Linked DNA regions of Drosophila melanogaster. The protein of the gene in region 2 interacts with the protein of the main gene of each other region in a pairwise test. Each region holds a gene or a part of one and is shown on either strand. Other genes may lie near its edges. The genes, in order: CG4286, CG12470 and azot.

Region 1 (6,877 bases), on a different chromosome or scaffold from region 2:
AGAGCCAAAAGCTCCAAAGCCCAAAGTGCCCCCACAATAGCCGGAGAGCAATTACAGTTAACGCAAAATGATAAAACTGTCGAGCATTGCTCGCCCTCTCTCTCTCTCTCTCTCTCTCGCGGCAGAACTTTCGATTTTTCATAATAAAAAGGTTACAACTAAATCTCAGGCGGTTTAGTCGGCAGATAAATTCGGAGCGAGCGCGCCAAATACAAAAGTCCGCCACGCGTTCAGAGCCCCAATCTCAAGTCCCATAGTTCAAACAGTTCCGAGCCCGTGTCCTCGCAGAGTCCACCAATCCCAGCCAAACATCAACTCCAATCAATCGAACATGAAGCCCCAGACAAGCGAGCAAAATGGCAGTGGCCAAAATGGCGAGGGTGCCGCAGATGCCGTGGCCGTTGCCACGATCCCCACGGGCGAAGCCTCCGCCGCCTCCGCCACGTCCGGCACCGATCTAACGGTCTCCAAAAACAGCCAGCAGCTGAAACTGGAAATGCTCAACTTGGAGCTGGCCAGCAATGGAAGCGGTGAGTTCTCCGGAAGAATGCCACAAACGGGAACTCTTCCTGGTTTGAGAAAAGTGCGTATACGCATAGTGGGATTGTTTTGATGAAGTCAAAATAAATTGGTTGTTAATTAGTTGGTGTAGAAATTCGGTTTCCATTCCAGGCTATAAATTAGTATCTCCCACTTAAGGGACTTTTTGCTTTGTGATTTGAAATCCATATCTTGGATGATTAATTGTCCACAAGTGCACTAGCATCTTTCCATTTCGAAGTTCTTGGAATATAGTTAGTAACGTTTGGTGATCTTCGTCAAGAAGGGGTTTATCCAGAAGCCTACTAAAGTTTGGTAATACCACAAACATGATTCATCCTTATCTGTTTCTGTTACCATTTCATTTCTTCTGAATGCCCGCACAATTTGGTTGAAGAATTCAAAGCTAACCCTTGATAGCCAGTAAACCCGATCTAGTTTCCGGGTAATACAACCCCTTGAACTGGCTAACATCGCGCGCAATGCAATCTGGCTGCCATATTGCATCAGTCATAGGTTAGTTGGGCCGCGATTGAAATTCAATCAAATGCGCATAATGCGAAGATTCCGATTTCCGGCGATGCTGGGCCTCATAAATCCGAGAACATAAACCACAGAGATTCGAGAGCCACGATTTCTGTCCCATATGCAAACCACACGCAGTGCCGGATATCGAGAGTAACTCTTGTTGTGTCCATACCAAACAAAAAAAAATAATAATAATAAAAAAAAAAAAATAAGAGAGCTACTAGCTGTGGCACTGACTGGGCTTATTGACATTGACATTGAAAGATTTGCTCGGTACATGGCACTTGGCTGAACGGATCATATCGGATTGGATTGGATCGGCAGATTCAACGAGAGCTGAATGGAGTTCGGGAACTCTGGGCCATGAGCCAAAGACAAAGACATAAACCCCTTTGGCTTGTGATCCGGTATTTGATTTCGTTTGATTTGGCCAAAACGTAGGGTGGTTAGTTGGAATGGGGGAGGGGGGAATGGGCCTGAACTACTTTTGTGAAGGTTAAAAAAGTGTTTAATTGCGAGTACGGTGCTCCAAACGGTTTCGATTCGTGGGTCTTAGCCACTAGCCACGGTTTCAGTTCAGTTTGAGTTTCAGTTTCTTCGATTGCCCCTCAGTTTTGAGCTGGTGTCTGTCGGCTATGGTGACTAATAGGCCTGGCCGCAGTACTTCACATTTGAGCGATTGCGGTCAATAAAACAAAAAAAAAAAAAAAAAAAAAACAAAGACTGAACAAAGCTGGCTGGCTGAGAGCCGAGGCGATCCAAGCTAATTGAGGCACTTAAAAAATTCTCCGAGCGAATTCTCCCAAGGCGTGGTGGCAACCCTGTCAGCACGGAATCCCCGATCCCGATCCCGATCCACAGACCAACGAATGGGGGGGAATGCATTCCTTATTCAGATCAAATGCCGTAATGGTTAATTGTGCAGCCCAGAGAGCCGGAGACAACACCTGCCCTGTGGAAAATGTTAATGATGCTTTAATTGCACCGCATGAGCATACGGGTCGACCAATCCGGAAGAAACCCATTGGAGCTCAACGATTTGCATTACATCTTTACAAGCGGTTTCAATTCAGACATCCCTCAAGTCATCTTCTTTAAGGGTTGCATGCACATATATAAGTACTAGCGAGGTATCACTGTACCTACGTCACATAATCTGTAACGATAATCTGCAGCTGTCTTATACTTATGTAAACTAAACCAGCCTGTGCTATTCCCAACTGATTTATTCGACCCTAAGCAGCGGTGGAAGGTTTTAATGTGCTTTACATTCCTTGTGGTTTGTACTTTTTTACAAACCCACCAAAATCTATTTCTCAGGACATATATATGTATATACATATATAAAGAATAACCTTCAACTCCATGCCATAAACAAGAAAAGTGCTCGCGATAAACCACGAATACTTTGCATGCAAATAAGATTCCGAATATATGCAGAGAATAATCAAATTTGGCCAGCTGGAGAGACTAGCTACTTTCAATTGAAGCCCCACATGTGGGATGCAGGGTTTCCCGCACAAAATGAGGACACTTCTAAGTGGGGTTAATGCTTTATTGATCGGCGTTATGTGCCAAAAAGCTGCACCCATCCAACCATTCCCTCACATAATGGTCTCCTCCTCCAGCATGTACTCCGTGAGATCGGCTTCGCCCGACAGCATGGTCACCGGCACCCGGTTCATCTGGGCCACCCGTTGACTGGGCCAGACCATCACGTCGCAACAGTTGGTCAACACGACCACATTGGTGCTCGGCGTGTTGGTGCACATCAGGTTGCCGGCCTTCTCCTGGTCGCACTTGTTGAACTTGCGCCGGAAACGGAACTTCACGGGCAACGAGTTGCCCATCACGCTCTCTTCATCGAAGTACGGCGGCAGGGATTTGTTGAAAGCCGGATTTGTGATGGCCGGCTTGGTTAGCTGATAGATGAGTGGAGTAACATCTAAATCACTGAAGCACATTGAATGTACAGATCACTCACCTCTTCGAGAACCACGGAGGTCTTGAGTCGGCGACAGGGATCACAGTAGTCGGAGGCCAATGTGTTCTCCGGTGTCTTGGTAGCACATGGATCCGGCTTGGGTTCGGGCACATTGGATCCCAAACCACTACCATGTGGCCCACTGTCACTGTCACGTTTACCCTTCGGATTCATGGGATCCTGGCCGCGCAATACGCATTCCTGCAGGAACTCTTCCTCGATGTCGATCAGTTTCTTGATGGCACAGTCCCGCTTCAGGAAGTTCTTGATCACGGACAGATTGCGGGGCACGGCGCCGATAACGTCGAAGTCATCGCTACGGAGCTGGAGGCGGTGCGCCATGACTTTGGTTCTCCAAGATGAATGGAGGGGCGGATGGTTGGAAGGGGGTTCGAATTTGGGGGAGTAGCTCGTTTCGAGTGGAATGTTTAAATGAACTACAACTTGACGTCTGGCCCCAAGTTGAGTGGGTTTCAAGGATATGCAAACAATAGTTGAGATTAAGTTGGCGCCAAGGATAAAGTGCACGTTTGAGGGCAAAAGCTTGGTACACTCTATTTAATAATATATATTAAGGGTAAACGCTACACTTATCCCAATAAGGTAGCTTTACTTTCCTAACAAGTAAATTGACCTACCACCCAAAGCTAGTTTTTAACATTTGATGGCACTATTTTCGTGGCTAGTGCTGTAGTTCTATCGCCTCCTGGCCGAGCAACAAGTTCGTGCGCGGTTTTACAGCCACTGGATGCCAAACCGTGGGCCTGCGCTCAGCTCGGTTTAGTTCCGCTCACTTAATCTCCGGCAAGCGAAACTCGGAGCAGAGCTTGCCCGTTGGATGGTCTGTTGGCTATTGATTGGAGCTTTCCGCCGCTCAAAGCTCCGCTCGAGAGGTTCTTATTGCCACCGCTGGCCACAGCAGCCACCAGAAGAGCAGAGCCACCCGAAGCGCCAACACGCGAAGACAAAGTCCGGCAGACAGCAGCGCAAAAAGAGACAGATAGCAGTGAGAAAATCATCGAGGAAAAAAGATTGTGTGCTAGCCGTCAAATTGAGTTCCATTCGAGTGGCAAACAAACCTGAGTAGCCGCACCGCCATGAGCTTTACCCGCCAACTGTCCGAGATGAGTGCCAGCGAGCTGAACGATGCCATCGACGACACCAACTTCCCGCAGGCCCACATCCTTTCGCGCGGACGCAACAACAGCGTCTGCTCAACAAGTAGCACCTCGGGCACCTCCTCGCTGGCGGACAGGCAGCAGAACCAGGCGGAGGAGGCCACTGCCATTGCGGGCACACCCGTCGAGGAGGTGGCGCCAGCTCCTGCTCTCGTCCCGTTGGCCGGCAACCAGAGACCCCGCCTCATCCTGAAGACCAACGGCAGCAGTCCGGATAGTGATGGTACACAACCGAAAACACCACTGACACCGCGTACATCGACAACGCCAGGTAGTGGTGGGTAGTGGTCCAGGACCAGGTCAGGGGATCCAGAGCTATGTTTGCTGCGACCGATTTAGTTAGTCAATGAACTAGGAGGAGGAGGAGTGCTTGACAAACTCTTTTTGAGCATAAACCGTACGCCTATCAGTGGGTTAGTGTTTCGGTTCAGAGGTCAGAAGATGCGCCTCGGAATGGGGAATAGTACTTAGACAGCCACACACAGCCAACGAAGGGGGGCAATGCCTTCCTATCTCGCATGATAACGATTCTCATCATGTTTCCATCCGTATTTCCATTTACAGGCCACGAGAAGTGCACGTTCCACCACGACCTGGAGCTGGACCACAAGCCGCCGACGCGAGAGGCCCTCCTTCCGGACATGGCACGCTCGTATCGTCTACTCTTGGGCGGCCTGGGCGAGAATCCCGATCGCCAGGGACTGATCAAGACGCCGGAGCGGGCAGCCAAGGCCATGCTGTACTTCACCAAGGGCTACGACCAGAGTCTCGAGGGTAAGCACACCACACATTTCAAGCAATTAGCACCGGGTCAGTGATCGAAGTTGCTCATCCTGGTTTTCCCAGCGAGTGGGAACTAGTTTCATGTCGGTGAATCACCATTTACGGGGGTTCCTCGGTCCGCTATGGTGCATTAGCCTAATTACCTGACCACTCGAGAGATAAAGCACATGAACATAGGGAGCCATTAGGCAATTTCGGGCTTGTCCAATCAAGTGGACGCATCCAAAATCCATTCAATATCCTATGAAATATGAGATTTGACTAGTAAAGTTTTTGGTCTCATGTTTGGCGTGCATTTCGACTTGCAGTCGCTTTTGAACTTGTCATGTAATCAATGTGAGTCGTTTGAGAAACAAAACAGAATTGCGAATTATATGGTTGCTACACCAGCATACCTAACCGGTTGCCCGAGAAATCAGGTTCTACGGTTTGTCAAATAAAATCGCATGTAAATTTAAGATCAACAGCAACAGCAGCAGGCCATTTGAAAGCTAAATTCGTTGAACGAAAGTGAATAGCCTTCGGCATCGGCAATAGAATGGGTTGGATTGTGTTTAACCCGAATTCAAAGAACCCAAGAAGCCGAGCCAACGTGACTTGCCAATCTGGTGTTGGGGGAACTCCACCCCCCTCCCCACCACACACACAAGATGCTTGTTGGATTGTTTGTTAGATGGCTCACTGGCTACTTGGCTACTTCTTGGCTTCTTCGCTGGTTGGTCAGGAAACGCACTGAAGCTTTCCGGTCTGTATATTAAGAGCGGTAAAGTGGGTGGGTGTGCGGTGCGGCGGCGGCTTCTATTCAAGGAATGGGAATCTCAAGAGCACATCGTTTAAAACGAGTGTGGCGAAAGCTCACACTCCACAAGAACCATAAGCCCATCCAGTCAAGTCAAGTCAAGTCAACCTCCCCCCAAGACCCGCAACCTCACACACGCACACACACACACAAACACTCGCTAAGCAACCACTTTAGCACTCACAGTCGCTTGAACTTAACATTCAGTATTCAGTTATGCAGCAAATAAATCTAACACGAATTACGCGCGCCATAAATCACGGGTAGCGAAGGAACGCCACTTGAGTAGCTTCGTGGTTGTGGGACATTGGGCGAACTTTTCAATAACGACTCCGTGGCGCAACGGTAGCGCGTCCGACTCCAGATCGGAAGGTTGCGTGTTCAAATCACGTCGGGGTCAGGCGATGATGAATTCCTTTTTCGTACTTTTTTTTTACTACACCATTTCAAATTTTTTTTAATAGATGTTCTCAATGGCGCCGTTTTCGACGAGGATCATGACGAAATGGTGGTGGTCAAGGATATTGAAATGTTCTCCATGTGCGAGCATCATCTGGTGCCCTTCTACGGCAAAGTTTCCATCGGTTATTTGCCGTGCAACAAGATTCTCGGACTCAGTAAATTGGCACGGTAAGATAAACTTAGTAATGCATATTAGATGATCTTTCATATAATTTGCGATCCCATAGCATTGTCGAAATATTTTCGCGTCGCCTGCAAGTCCAGGAGCGCTTAACTAAGCAGATCGCAGTGGCCGTGACTCAGGCCGTGCAACCCGCTGGAGTAGCAGTGGTCGTAGAGGGAGTGTAAGTATTAAATATATATACATATATATTTTAAAGAATATTATAGTTTAACGAATGGCTTTCCTCCTATACAGCCACATGTGCATGGTGATGCGTGGCGTGCAGAAGATCAACAGCAAAACTGTTACCTCAACTATGCTGGGCGTGTTCCGAGACGATCCCAAGACCCGTGAGGAATTCCTGAACTTAGTCAATAGCAAATAGAGTGGGCACTAGAGGACGCTACTGAAATCCGAGACCAACTAAACCCCTACAATAT
Region 2 (6,967 bases):
CCATCGGTCCATACCATATAAAAATTCAAAAGCTCTGCATGCTGTGCAATACGAAATAAAATATGTAGATCGCGGACTCATGGGCGTGACAAGTACAACTTGACAGAGGCTGAAGCAGTCAAAGAGCCGGTGACATGTCGTCACTGTCATCACAACTTTAACAGGAAGCCACGCCCACTCAACAGGTGCCCAGCTGAATTTACTAAAAGCGTCAAAAACAAGAGCATAGACAGTAACATCTCAAGTCAATTCTCCTGTCAACAGTCTCAGACAATTTACTCTAAAAAGAACATGAGCGCTATAGTCCATTTTCTCGGTTTATAGTTTTCGAGTTCTTTTCATACGGACGGAGGGACATTCGAACATGACTAGATCAATACTGAGCTAGAATATAGATGTAATGGGTCAGAAACGCTTTTTTGTTTATTATTTTGTCTGATTTTATAAGTTTTCACGTGAAAGAAATTATAGGAAGATAATCACTTGGGAAACATTTATTATTAGTTTTAATGTTTTCTTCTTTCCAGTGAGAGCAGTTTTTTTCGGATCATGTCTTTAGCGGGTGTATAAGAAAAGGCCTGGCACACATGTTATAAATATGCAAATAATTATTTAGGAGCGTGGAATGCTGGCGACAGCGATTATATGAACGAGCAGATTAAGTCCCTTTAGGCACTTTGCCGTCGTCGTCCCGTGGTCTAGCCCAATCTATTCGCCATTGGTCATCTGGCCAGCGGGTAGGAGGGAGATTCACAGAATTGGGGGAGTGTAGGCTTCCCAGGTAAAAGTGGTTACAGTATGTTTTGTCAGAGATTTTTCCCGTTGATATTCCCGCTTTTTATTTACACGTAGAGTAAAATTGTATTCTAGATTCGTTGTAGCATTTTAGACCCTATGACGTTTATATATACATACATACATATACATACCTTCCTCAGGATCACTAGCCCAGATCTGAGCATGTCCCTTTGTCCGTATGAAAGCAGTTTTTTAATTTAATTTAGTTTTTTGTATTGTCAATTTCTATCCAATTCAATTTCTAGCCAAACAAATTTTGCACCGCCCTAATTTGCCCATACTTATAAAACATAATTCTGAATTTTATTTATTGATTTATGTTATCATAATGGGTATTGGATAGTCGAGTTTCTTGTATATAACGTTCTCCCTTCCTTCTATTTGTTTTTTTTACTTGGCTTTTGACCCAATGCCTTGGACCTTGTTCTTATTTTTTGTTTGCCCTAGACTCGTTGGCGTCGACTTTTAGGTTGTTGCACTTTGGTACCACAGTTATCAAAATTTCGATTGCTCTATTTTATTGCTGTATTTTATTTTGACCGATACAACTGCAGGATAGCCCATGTGTAAACAATCAGCAAACCATTTGTTATATTCCTGCAGTGAATGAAGATTAATTTCAGTCATAAAAAAAGAAAGGGAAGGCTACCGGAGAGGTGCTAAATAACTCCGCTCTCTGAGATAAATTATGCGCAATTTCTCCTCTGCAAACTTATTCAGCACCTTAAAGCTTAAGTACTCCAAACTAAGCTTTCGCGGCTTAAAGCTAAAAATCTTTATTTTATGATAAAAAGCTCAATTTTATGAGCATGTACTTTTTTACGTTTTTAACATGCCGTTTTTTTTTTTAAGAAGGACTTGGACATCTGTATAAGGCAACATATCCATGTGAATTTACAAGGAGAAAACGATTCAGTCGATCTTGTCGGCTTACAGATACGTGTTACTACTCCGCTAGAGGAAGTGCGTTGGAGTTGGATATATGTAGATAACATATCGATAGATTTACAAAATTAAATTTTCAAATGTGTCGGCGTGGCAGTTTTGGGGGGTTTGGGGGCCTTAGAGTGGGCGTGGTAATATTTCAACAAACTTGCGCTGGTTCTGTCTCTAGAATATGTATGCTTAATATAAACCTTCCAGCTTTTATAATTCCTGAGATGTCGACGTTATACGGCCGGACAGACGGACAGTGCCAGATCGACTGGGCTATTGATACTGATCAAGAATATATAAACTTTATATGGTCGGAAACGCTTCTTTCTACTTGTTACATACATTTTCAACGAATCTAGTATACTCTTTTAGTCTGCAAGTAACGGGTATAAGAAGTATAATTTGAACTGTATAAAGGTTAAACTGTATGTAGGTTAAAGTACTTATGCGGTAAATGAATCTTATTTCTAGTACTTATCTAATCATCCCACATTAAAGCAACTGATTAAATAATACCATTGAAGATTGCACACATTTGTATATAGAGAGTGGGAGAGAGCGATATCTTCCTCCATATGGGTATCCTAAACCTGCCGACTCACGTTTGCCGGCATGACAGGTTGGGTTACCCCATTAGCTGAGAATTTCTTTTTGATGAAGCAATAATCGAAGGAGTGTTTTCTTTTGGATTCGTATTCGTTTGATACCGCTGTGAGCCATAAAATGTAACCCATTAGGTTAGTATGGTTGCGATTATAATGGTGGTGTCATCATCATTTAGCCAAAAACCTGAGATTTATTCCACTGGTCCATTCATAAAAGGCCATCATTTGAAGCTTAGATAATGTTTAATTAATAAATACGCGTTTTTCGTATTTCAATGGTACTTTTATCGTATCAGATATTTTTTTTAATATTTCCATATTTTTCTTCTTCCAGCAGATAAAGGAAAGTAGTAGATTTAGTTGTCCCTTAAGTTGTGATACAACGATAATTGAATAAAATAAGAACTGGCAATTATATATGCATTAAGCTGTTTACGAGCACCAAACGTAGCCTACTCTGGGTTGGTTTATTAAATAGAATGGCTTTCTTACTTTTTTTTAGATCACGTTGCTTTGCTGAAACTGTCAGTATTTGGACTTGGCTATCACCAGCCATATGGCAAAACATCAGAAGTAAAATTGTCTGTGAACACACAAAGCACACGAAAAAATCTCGGAAAAAAAACTGTACAAAATTTAACTTCGCTCTCGACCAGATTTACAAAATTTTTTTTTTGGCCAAACTTAAAATTAGGAATACAAGAGAACGGTGTGTGTACCAAAATCAAATCGTGTTTAGCTAGTTGGTGAGTCTTATTGGAAGCTCGGCATATTCCGAATATTACTGAAATTTTTTCCCCATTTCCGAATTGCATTTGGTTTCACATGACATACGCACACAATTGGAAGTCGTAATTCTATATGTGTGGGACAGTGTTTACTGAGTATTTGGTTGGGGTTAACTTAAGAATTAATATTTTTTTTTTTTAAATGCGTATTTCAGACGTCAGGATATATGCTACTTTGATTCGTTAACTATTTTCAAGTGATCGGAAGCAAACGCAGAGGCATTTCTAATTTGTGCGTTGCGCGACTTTCAGAGATCGTAGACTCGATTAACCATGGGTAAAAAGGGCAAAGGAAAGAAGGGCAAGAAGCCCGCCGCAGTTGTGGCTCCCATCGAAGCGCCACCATGTCCTCCGTGTCCGGAACCACCAAAGCAGATGCAACCACTTGACGCTTGTCCAGAGTCTAGCGGACCCCACGATGTCCTTCGGGCTCAACCGAATCATTACCCGGCTCTTCTTCGTATTCCGGAAACAATGGCGGTGGTGGGCTCTGAGAATGGATGCTACGATAGCATTTGCAAGCTCCTGAGAGCCGGATTCCGGTGTGCCGAGCGGGTTTTCGTGATGGCCCCTTGGGGCAACTACGTGGTTTTCCGGTATCACAACAATAATGACTTTATTTACTTCCTGTTTGATGGATGCACCTGCGATGTTAATAGGTTCCGCTATCTAGACCTCAGCTGCGGAACTGCTGGATTTCTTTTCTTCGATAATATGCACGACGTTATTAGTTATATTATCCAGTCTCGAAAGACGCGTCTATATCTGGAGAATCTAAACAAGATTGCCATTGATCAGATTGTGGAGGAGTATGGCGCTGTAACGTACACCCAAAAGGCAAAATGCATGCGATTCGCTTAAATAGGTCCCATATGATTTCTAACAAAAGAGGGCAACGCATACACAACGAGGATAATACTGGACGACAAGCTTTGCTCTAAACATTTAACATATTTTGGCACAATCTTTATCAATAAATAATAATCTCTTTGAAAGCAACTAAAACAAATTTGCATAGCTCTAATACCAATAGCGGTGATAGCGATATACCAAAGCGTTTATTTTGCATGTCGAAGTTAATCCTTTTGTAGAGTTTTGCTGGGAAAGTTGAGGTTAGCGTACGATCAAAAGAAGTTAAATAACAATAGTCGACATAAATTATTGCAATATTACTGTGGATAAAATACAAATCGTAAATATAATATCAAAAATTAGAGACTTACAGGGTGTGAGAATTTTGTCAATTAGAGTACAGATTCCAAGTCGATTAGCGTTCGATTAATTCCATTCATTTGAGTGGTATGGAAATTATGCATGTGCATCATTTTGCTAATATTCGGCTCAAAAGAATGAAGCGGAGGATTCCAGCTTAACGTGCACAACAAATCCCTCAAATTATTATTGCTTGCTACAAAATGAAAAAAGAAGAAACCCAATAGAAACAAGGTGAACCTTCCAAGTAAGGGGTCAATTTTTGGAGGCCCATGGATTGCGAAAACCGCAAAGCATTTGCAATAAAGTGCCAAACAAGCGCCGGCCACACGATATTTGAATATTTATAAAAGTAGTCGACTTGTTGATAGATTATGAGATGTTAAACTGAAAAATTTTATTTTTCAAACAGATTTTCAGTATTTGAAAATGTTTATATTATAACACAATTAAATTGTTTTTAACATCTTAATTAATTCTGAAATAATGTTTAAAGTTCTTACATTTTTATTAACATCTTAATTAATTATATATATATATAATATAATAGGTTATTAGACAGACCGTTACTTCTTATAATTTATATATTGTTATTTTTTAGTGGATGCGATTTGTGAGCAATATATATTTACTTGACATTTGTCCGGGCTACGAGAGAAGGCTCGGCTGGTTAGGCCACTGTTTCGCCGGTGTGTCAAGTGTCCGGTTTCCCTAACCATAACTCGTGTACCCCTCCTTAACTCCCGTGAGTACCTTTTAACTATCCAAACTCCTTGACTAGCCATGTCCCATTTAACATTTTACAACGAGTAGCGTATTTGTATGGCTGCGCGGCATTTTAAGACCCAATCGATCGGAGGATCGAGATTGAGGCACGCAAATAGAGTTAAATATATAATATTTTAACTCCAAAAGTTTATAGTGCACACTAAACCATTTATTAACCCCAAAAAAAAAAATGTATATTCTCGACGAACATCCATAAAGATTTGTGCTAGTACTTTTTTTTGTCCAGTGTAAATCGAGGGAAACATGGGTCGCAGATCGACAGACAAAGACGAAGGTATCTATTTTCCGAAAAATATATATACTTGCCCTTTCACGTTGTCGGCAAATGTCAGCCTACCATTTATATAAATGCACACCTCACCCTCAACTATTTGCAGACTCAAAAACTTTGTCATCTCCCCTTTTGAAGCTCAAGTAAATTCCCCAAATGTACTTGCACCGATGACCCCGCTCGAAACTTTTTACTTCTCGAATAATAATATTTACTAACACAAAAAATGGTTTCGTCTTTTAAATGATTAGTTTTTTTTATTTCATTTTAGGTTTTATGAATACATTCCTTTATACCAATACCATTATCTTTTTTCTTTATAAGTGGCCTGGACTTAGATCATCTCCAAAACTTTTTGCGCTTTGCTAAAAAACAGCAAATTCGCTTCTATTGTTTCGGTCTTGGGTTTTCGTTGATTGAATTTTTGGTTATTGCGGTTACCTTTTACCAGCTTTATACGCTGCATGCAACATTAGTCAATGACACTCGATGCTGGATGTTGATGTTGTTGTTGCTTAGTTGCCAGTTTGCAACATCATCTTGCGTCAGTCGCTGACATGATTATATATATTTGGCATGAACCTCCCCTTCCTTACTATGTGAATATTTGTGTAATGTTTAGATAAGTTTTTATTTATTTTGGATTTCTTTAAAACAAACCAAATAATCGTTCTAGATTTTAAATCAATTAATATTCATTATTCGATGTATGCAAAAACAATGGTTTTCACCCTCTCTTAAGTAAAAACAATGTTATGCAAACATTTGTTGGCCAATTTTTTGCTGTGTCAACAACAATCATTAATTAGATGCAACGAAATTACCAATCAACTGCTGCAACGTAATAAAAATTCATATGCGTTGCATATTAGCTAAATGAAATCAAATGACAGGAAGCAAGCAACATCAGCAACAACAGCAACCGCCTTAACACCGAATATACAACATATTATCGAAGAAATTCAATAACTGCTCATTGTGAAAAATGCTAACCAGCCACACCACAGGGGGGAGGGGTGCACTTTACGCGCTTTTGATCAACGGGAAACTCGTTTGATTCAGTGCAATCGAATTACATTGGCATGAGATGCAGTTGCAACTCTCGCTAACGCTTTCCTTTTCGTGTTGCGCATTTCACTTGTTTCTTCTCTTCTCACTTGCACTAAGCAGATCTTGGCATAATAAATAAATTAATCGACAAATGACGAATGATATATGAGGATAGATTGGAAGTAAAGAAAGACAGAGCCAAAACAGAATGATCTGACGAACTGTAAACACCAAATATATATTGATTGCTGGTTTTGTAAACTAATAAATAATGTAGATTTCAAAAGTTTTTACCAGTGCAGTGTCCAGGGTGACACATGTTTTCAATTTCCATGATTTTGTTGTTTATACAGCTATGTAGATTCAGCTTGGGCTTCTTTTGCTGCCGCACTCATAATTACGAACCGCCAAATGGATTTGGCTTGGCCAGCAAGTGAAAATGCTATCGCTATGCAGCAAAAGCGTGTGACTTTTCGCTTTTTGGTGCCTACCGCTGTTTTTTTTGTAGTTTCTGAATT
Region 3 (6,731 bases), on a different chromosome or scaffold from region 2:
AACTATATATTTTTAAAGCGTGCCTATGTATAAATAACAACTCCGGAGACTACCTAAAAGTAGTATAAACTTTCCATGCGGAAGTACGTGTATAGCTAAATCCCACCCTTTTGGATCTTATTCCGAGGGTTCGCTTCGTGGGAATCAAACAGGTGCGCTGGGATTGAATACAACAATTCGAATCAAAACTGTGGGTATACGAAACTCATATATAAGTCGAGCAGAAATTTATTTAGTCAATTAGCCAATTATGGAGTATTGCTGGGAAATAAGCTGAATGTTTTCTTTTTTTTTTTTCTAATTTCAAATTATAATGCTGCCCCATTTGTGACAATTTGTGTCAACTTTCTTAATGGACGACACTAATCAATGACTTAAATTACAGCGAGGAGCGCGGGCTTTATCAATGCGCTTGCACAGCGATTACTCGTATTCCATATTTACCTGTGTGAGGAGTAAACAGGCGCTATTGATTGCCTATAGCCATCGGTTCAATGTCGCACCGCCACTCACATGCAGAGCAATGCAATTAAACTGTAGCTGAACGATAACCTATTTAAATTATCCATATGAAGCGCTAGAAACATATGAACGTCGGAATGACCTCTCGACTTTTGATTAACATTAATAAGTCCGTGGGTTAACTGTAAGTGGATGTAAAATAAAGAAGCTAATGTTTTAATTTTTCAATTAAGCATAATTAAGTATTTTTGGGGTTATTGTGGGTATTTACCTTTTACAAATAGGATTAGCAATGACGAAATCGTGAAATCTTTCCGAGTAATGCATCCCAGCCCCGAAATATTTCTCCGAATTCGGCATCAATTATTCTTTCTCTATACATGATTTTCTTTTATATATGTTCTGAAATCCATGCACGAAGGCGCATTCAAATTTATAAACCTTTCCCCCTTACAAATTATTAGTCACTAGTCACTTGACAATATTTTATTGCCAAGGTGGGCTTTTATAATTGCCGAATGAGTCATGGACAATGTATGTTGTATGCGTATTAAGGGTGCCAATAGATAACAAGGTAATTTAAAAAGAGCAAGGTGCGATAAGACTTGAACCCAAAATCATGCCACTTGTAAACTTGGTCAGACAAAAAGGAAACCAGCGAGTCCAGTCCAGTCCAGCACATGGTCAAATATTTAAATTGGCATCGTAATCAGCGTGGCTCGATTTTATGATTGCTCTGGCCCATCGCCATCACCCTTTCGAATATCCTGGCACTCCCCAGCGGCCATTAGGCACATGCGACCGTTTCGGAGTCACGCGCCGTGCCACATGGACACACACAAGTGGACTTCTTCGGACAAGGTTTAACAGCCGACTTTCTGGCGCTGCGTTGAGTAAGCCAAAGGAATTTGGTTGGGAATTTCAAGTGGTGCCGCCTAGGCGTAGGGAAAACGCGACTGGGTTGGGCTCTTTCGAAAGGGGTTCGTGGTTAATTTGTGCCTTCAATTTGGAATTCCTAGCTTCGCATGGCGGTAACAAATTCGTTGAAGGAGATCTTTCCATCTTTGTCCTGATCAATGTCCTGGAACAACTCGCGCAAGTCCTCTTCGGACATCTTCTCGCCCAGGTTGGTCATCACCATTCTGATCTCGTTAATTGTAAAGCTGTTCACTTCGCTGCGATCGAAGATTTTGAAGGCCTGCTTTAGGCACACCAGACTGTTCTGCTCCTCCAGCCGTTTGCTCATCACGTATAGAAAGTCCTTGAACTGCACCTGCCCACCGAAGTCGGCGTTACTTTCGTTGGCCAGGTCGTAGATCTCCGCCTCGGTGAGACTCTCTCCAAGGGCCCGCATTACTCCGCCGAGCTGTTGGACGGAAACCCATCCGGACCGTTCCTTGTCATACAAACTGAATGCTTCTCGAATTTCTTCAATCTGGGCCTCGGTCAAACTGCCGCTCATTGTTTCCAAAGTGATTTTCTTTTTTTTTTTTTTTTTTGTAGTGGACTAATGTTTCATGTGCTTTTGTCAGTGTGAACATAAAGAATTTAAACTGAACACAGACAGAACGCCGACTTTTTGTTGGATAGAAATCAAGCCAGCCTTCTATACGAGTACTCACATGGAGGCTATCGCATTGTCATCATGTTGACGAACTCCTCGTAATTCAAGTGATTGTCCTGATCCAAGTCGTACTCGCGTATCATTTCTTCCAACTCGTCGTCGCTGAGCTTTACGCCCAGCGCGGTGAACACATTTTTTAGCTCGGTGGTGGTAATGTAGCCATTGTTATCCTTGTCGAAAATTCGGAAAGCTTCGCGCAGCTCGTCCTCATGGTTGGTGTCGCGCATCTTGCGCAGAATCACATTGCAGAACTCCGGAGCCACGATGGATCCGTTTCCCTCCGAATCCACCTCATTGATCATGGACTGAACCTCGGCGTCGTTGGGCTGGCGACCCAGGGCGCGAATCACCACCGCCATCTCTTTAGATGTTATGGCGCCCTCGTTGTCCTTGTCCAAAATACGGAAAGTGTCAAGGATCAGGACTCGCTCCTCATGCGAAATATCCTCCATCTTAACTGGTATATTATAGTTTCTCGGAAGAGTTGTATATTGCTCTGTTTATATGTAGGTGTCAACTGATGTTTGGATGAAACAAGGTCCTGACATTGAACTCAGTGAAATGTGAAAAATGGTAAAATGAACATCCCCCGGTGGCTTCACTGCGCTGCACAGTGCACAACACCGAATGGCACAAAATCAATATGCTCGTTATATAAGCGCAGTGCCGCACGGACAGAGTTGATTGATTCGAATGTCCTTGGGCGAGGAGGCCTTGCAGCTGATCGGTTTCAATTGCGACCCAGCAACGGACGTCAGCTAGTATCTTTCGTTGTTCGTTAACAAAACAGAAGGAGAGTGCCGTTCGAGGAAAGTTAAGGAGTAAGAATGTGTACAATCACCGTCATTGTTCCAACGCACACTCAAGAAAAAAAAGGCTCATCTTTTCGCTATTCGAAATACAAGAACTCAACAGAAGTTTGCAACGCCAAAATATTTGTGTAGAATGAAAACAACATTAGTGAACTTTTATAGTTCCCGAGATCTCGACGTTCATACGGACGGACAGGCAGACGGAAGGACAGACGGGCTTATCCAGATCGACTAGTGATCTGGATGAATAACTCCTTTAGCTTCACGAGTAACTGGTATAAAAATGTAAATGTAAGATTTTGTTCTTGATTGCTTAAACTTATTCGTAAGTTTTGCTATACATTAAATAATCTATCTATGAATCAGCATACCATACTATTCATACTTAACAAGAGTGTTTTGAGTGTACTGCCATACAAGTGTAGTGGTTGCTATCGGCACAGAAAGGTTGTCATGCGATTTGGGTTTGGCGCCTAGCCTGCAACTTTGGCGGCTGCCTTTTTGCCGCAGGTTAATTCCAGTGCTTCTCCCCCTCGGCCCTTTCACCTGACCGCAGTGGGACACACCTGACACCGGTTTTTGGCTGCCGGAGGAGTGGTAGTGCCCGGGGGGGTGGGCAGAGAATGCGGCACGCTTTACTCTGGCCACAGTCTAAGCAAATAATAGACAAGAATTTGACATCGGCACGAGAGGGTTCCATTGTGCGGCTCATTTGATTTTTGGTTGTGTTTGGGTATTTGTTTGGGCTAGTTTCGGCGAAACAGAGGAAGTGTGCTAGAGGGCCATAATGGAAACATATCTCACATGTGTGTTTCGGAATTGTTCCTATGACGAGGCAAATTCTGGCCATATTTTTTGACCATTAACGCCGCCTGGCCCGACATAAATAATTTTCTAAGAGTGGGGTTCGGGAACCGTATGTCAAAACTTAAATAATAAATCTCTTGTTTATTTCTTGGATAAACCAAAAATATTCATTTATTGCAAATTTAATTTTTTTTCTTGCAGGAAAACCTCCGCGTTGGCTTGGAACGCAAAAAGCTCGAAATAGACCCAAAGTATTTGCTTCTTCTGGGCTTCACCTCGTCAAATGAAGCTACAGGCCAACAGCAGCAGCTGGATCAGCAAAATGTGGTGGACATCGGTTCACCAGGTCAGCAACTGCCAAAGACAGATTTTTCAGCGCCGGCTACAAAAGCGGAACTGGAGCTCAGCGAACTGCGAGGTCTGCGGCGTCCACAGGATGCTGTTACCTTCGGTAGTCAGGCAGGAGATCAAAAGGGGCAGCGGAAGCGGATCACGACGCCGTACAACGGTACAAAGAGCAACTTCACAATCGTCAGCTATGTGCTGGAGGGGCAGGCCGCATCGGCCATCCTGCTGGCCCAGAATATTGCCGCCAAGCTTCCCAGCGAGTACCTGCTAATCTACGATTTGGGCGTTTCCGAGGAGCAACTACGGGATTTGGGCGCCTACTGTAATAACAGCCGATGCTCGGTGATCACCTATGATCTGTCGGAGTTTCCCTCCTTCGTCGCCGATCAGCGGACGCACGCCTACCGGCCCATTGTAATTAAGGACGGTCTTATGCGTGCCCGATCGGTTCTCTTCTTGGAAAACAGCATGCGCGTGCGCGGAGGTTCCGCCCAGCTGCGAAGTCTGCAGAGCATCGTTATGAATCCAGGAGTGGGAAAATCTGCAGTCAAGTCCGCTGGAGTGCTCGGATGGAACACAGCGACGGCGGTATCCTCTCTGACGCATCCAAAAATGTTCGACTACTTTGAGTCGAAAGCTGAGGAGTTTAACTTTCTTCGGATGGTCGACCTGGATGCTGTCTTCTTCTCGGACAGCTCCTTGGTGGCCGAGAAGATCATGCTTCCCTGGCTGAAGTGCTGCCTCACCCTCGAGTGCATCGATCCGATCGGTGAGTCGGGTGGGATGGGTGGTGGTGGTGGTGGTGGCGTCATAGGGATATGTAAAACTGTCATTAGAAATGTTCCTCAGTCACTGCCTGACGCCAATATAAATCAATCAAACGTACGTTCAAACCTCCAACCCCCAAGCTCTCCTTCGGGGCTAGGCTCGTGTACTAATAACTGTCATTTGCACGGCATTCCGTTGATGGCACTCACATCGGGGAAATTTATGTAATTACCACCTGAATTGGGATTGATGGCAAAAGTGACATTGCCTTTCTTAACGAACAATTCATTTTTATTCGACCGGCATTTCCCAAACTAAGTAGTCAACAATACTCACTTTTTGGCTGGTTATTACATATAATGCTTACCAAGCATAGGTGAATTTTTAATAGAAATAAGCTTTCATTTCCTTGAATTCATCTGAAATGAACTCTGTGTTCACTTCCTGGCACTCCTGGCGAATTAAACACAGAGCTCATTTTTAATTGATGAATCCAAAGAAAGAAAATGCTTCTTTTCCAATTTCATTCATTTTCTCGCGCATGTTATATGCAGTCAAATGCTCATTTCTGTATCTTCATTGATTGACTAGATTCAGATACTTTATAGTCGACAAATTTTCGGTTAAGGATCAAAGGTATTTGGAAATATTCCATTCGTTCGTTGCTCGGCTTCAAAAAGTGTTTGATAACAGCGTGATATCATTTTTGTCACATCGAGTGCCTTGTAAGCCTTTAATAATTCTCGTGTGTAGTTTTCAAATCGAAGGGGGGATGTAAGGTTCTCAAGGGTTTCGGAAATGATTTTGGGGTAACGAGAATACAAATTTACATCTTTGTGACTTCTGTGTTTCGCTTCGCAATCGCTTTGATTGGGCTTAGTTATGGAGATTAATTCCCTTTTTTCTGAAACAGGTGCTTTTAACTTTCTTTTCTTGAGATTTTCCATATAGTATTGTCGTTGATTCAAAAAATTTCTTTTCATTGTCATTTCCATTAGCAAAGGTGATACTTTTTCAGTCCTATACTTTTGCAACGAACAGCAAATTTCACACTCGCATTCAGTCTGTGTACCTGCGTCAGTTTTGGGAACGAAAAGTCGTTTAGATCGTTTCTTTCTTCGACGATTGGGTGGTTGGGGTTTCTCTTCGGCCAAGGGAACATACTTTCCTTGATAGTCATCGTAAGTCAAAAAGTCCATGGGTGAATCTCTGTCGTCTAAAATAAACAGTTCTGCATTCGCCCTGGACTGATTTATTCTTTTGATCGACGCAAATGTTCTATTTAATTTTTCAGAAATCTCATAGCCCAACGGCGAAACAGATTCCTCAAAGTACTCAAAATTGTCGCTATTTCCGTGTTTTAAGGTCTCTAATCGATTTAGTTGCTCCAAAAGTTCTAACTTTGAGCCAACTTTTTTGTCACTCAGCCTGTCAACGTTAAGAAAGATGTTAGTAGCAGTTTGTCTAGTGAAATTCCTCAGATTCGTGTCCATGGTACGGAAGGCTTTGCGGTTAGAAATAATTTCTGCCTCCCTTGGTGTGTGTGATTTGGAATCATGGATAGTATCTTGATTTGAAACTCCCTTCTTGAGATTCTTGAAGCCATAGTCGTGGATTTTAAGTCCTTTGCCTAGCTTAAAATCAAATCCTTTGTTCCCAGATGATTTGGTCATCTTAAATTCGTTGGTTCTGATTCTCTTTGCTGGTGTCTTCGATGATTCAGCAGGATATGTTGAATCGTGTTGCGCTTCTCTAGCTGGAACCGTGTACTTTGAAAGATCTCCAAAAGAGGTTTCGAAATTAAGGGCGCTTCCGGAAAACTTCTTTAAAATCGTTCGGTTCATTTTCTCCATCATCCTTTTGGGAGTCTTTATGCCTTTAAACTCGTCCAGCTCCTGCATAACTGAAAC

What was found.
Region 1: the proteins of CG12470 (region 2) and CG4286 interact in a two-hybrid assay, tested with the Drosophila melanogaster proteins (2 studies listed by BioGRID).
Region 3: the proteins of CG12470 (region 2) and azot interact in a two-hybrid assay, tested with the Drosophila melanogaster proteins (2 studies listed by BioGRID).

The regions. Positions count from the first base shown.
Region 1 is NT_033778.4:21,175,144-21,182,020, forward strand, and holds CG4286 (uncharacterized protein), read right to left. Parts: upstream 3,494-6,877; 5' UTR 3,395-3,493; coding exon 3,053-3,394; intron 2,991-3,052; coding exon 2,673-2,990; 3' UTR 2,611-2,672; downstream 1-2,610. Other genes in the region: Pu (punch), read left to right, coding at 4,150-4,501, 4,795-5,004, 6,277-6,442, 6,502-6,618, 6,693-6,822.
Region 2 is NC_004354.4:304,808-311,774, forward strand, and holds CG12470 (uncharacterized protein), read left to right. Parts: upstream 1-2,876; 5' UTR 2,877-3,085; intron 3,086-3,282; 5' UTR 3,283-3,400; coding exon 3,401-3,988; 3' UTR 3,989-4,128; downstream 4,129-6,967.
Region 3 is NT_033778.4:7,945,696-7,952,426, reverse strand, and holds azot (ahuizotl), read right to left. Parts: upstream 2,589-6,731; 5' UTR 2,539-2,588; coding exon 2,092-2,538; 3' UTR 1,962-2,091; downstream 1-1,961. Other genes in the region: CG30378 (uncharacterized protein), read right to left, coding at 1,478-1,924; CG34431 (uncharacterized protein), read right to left, coding at 5,445-6,731; CG14764 (uncharacterized protein), read left to right, coding at 3,907-4,822.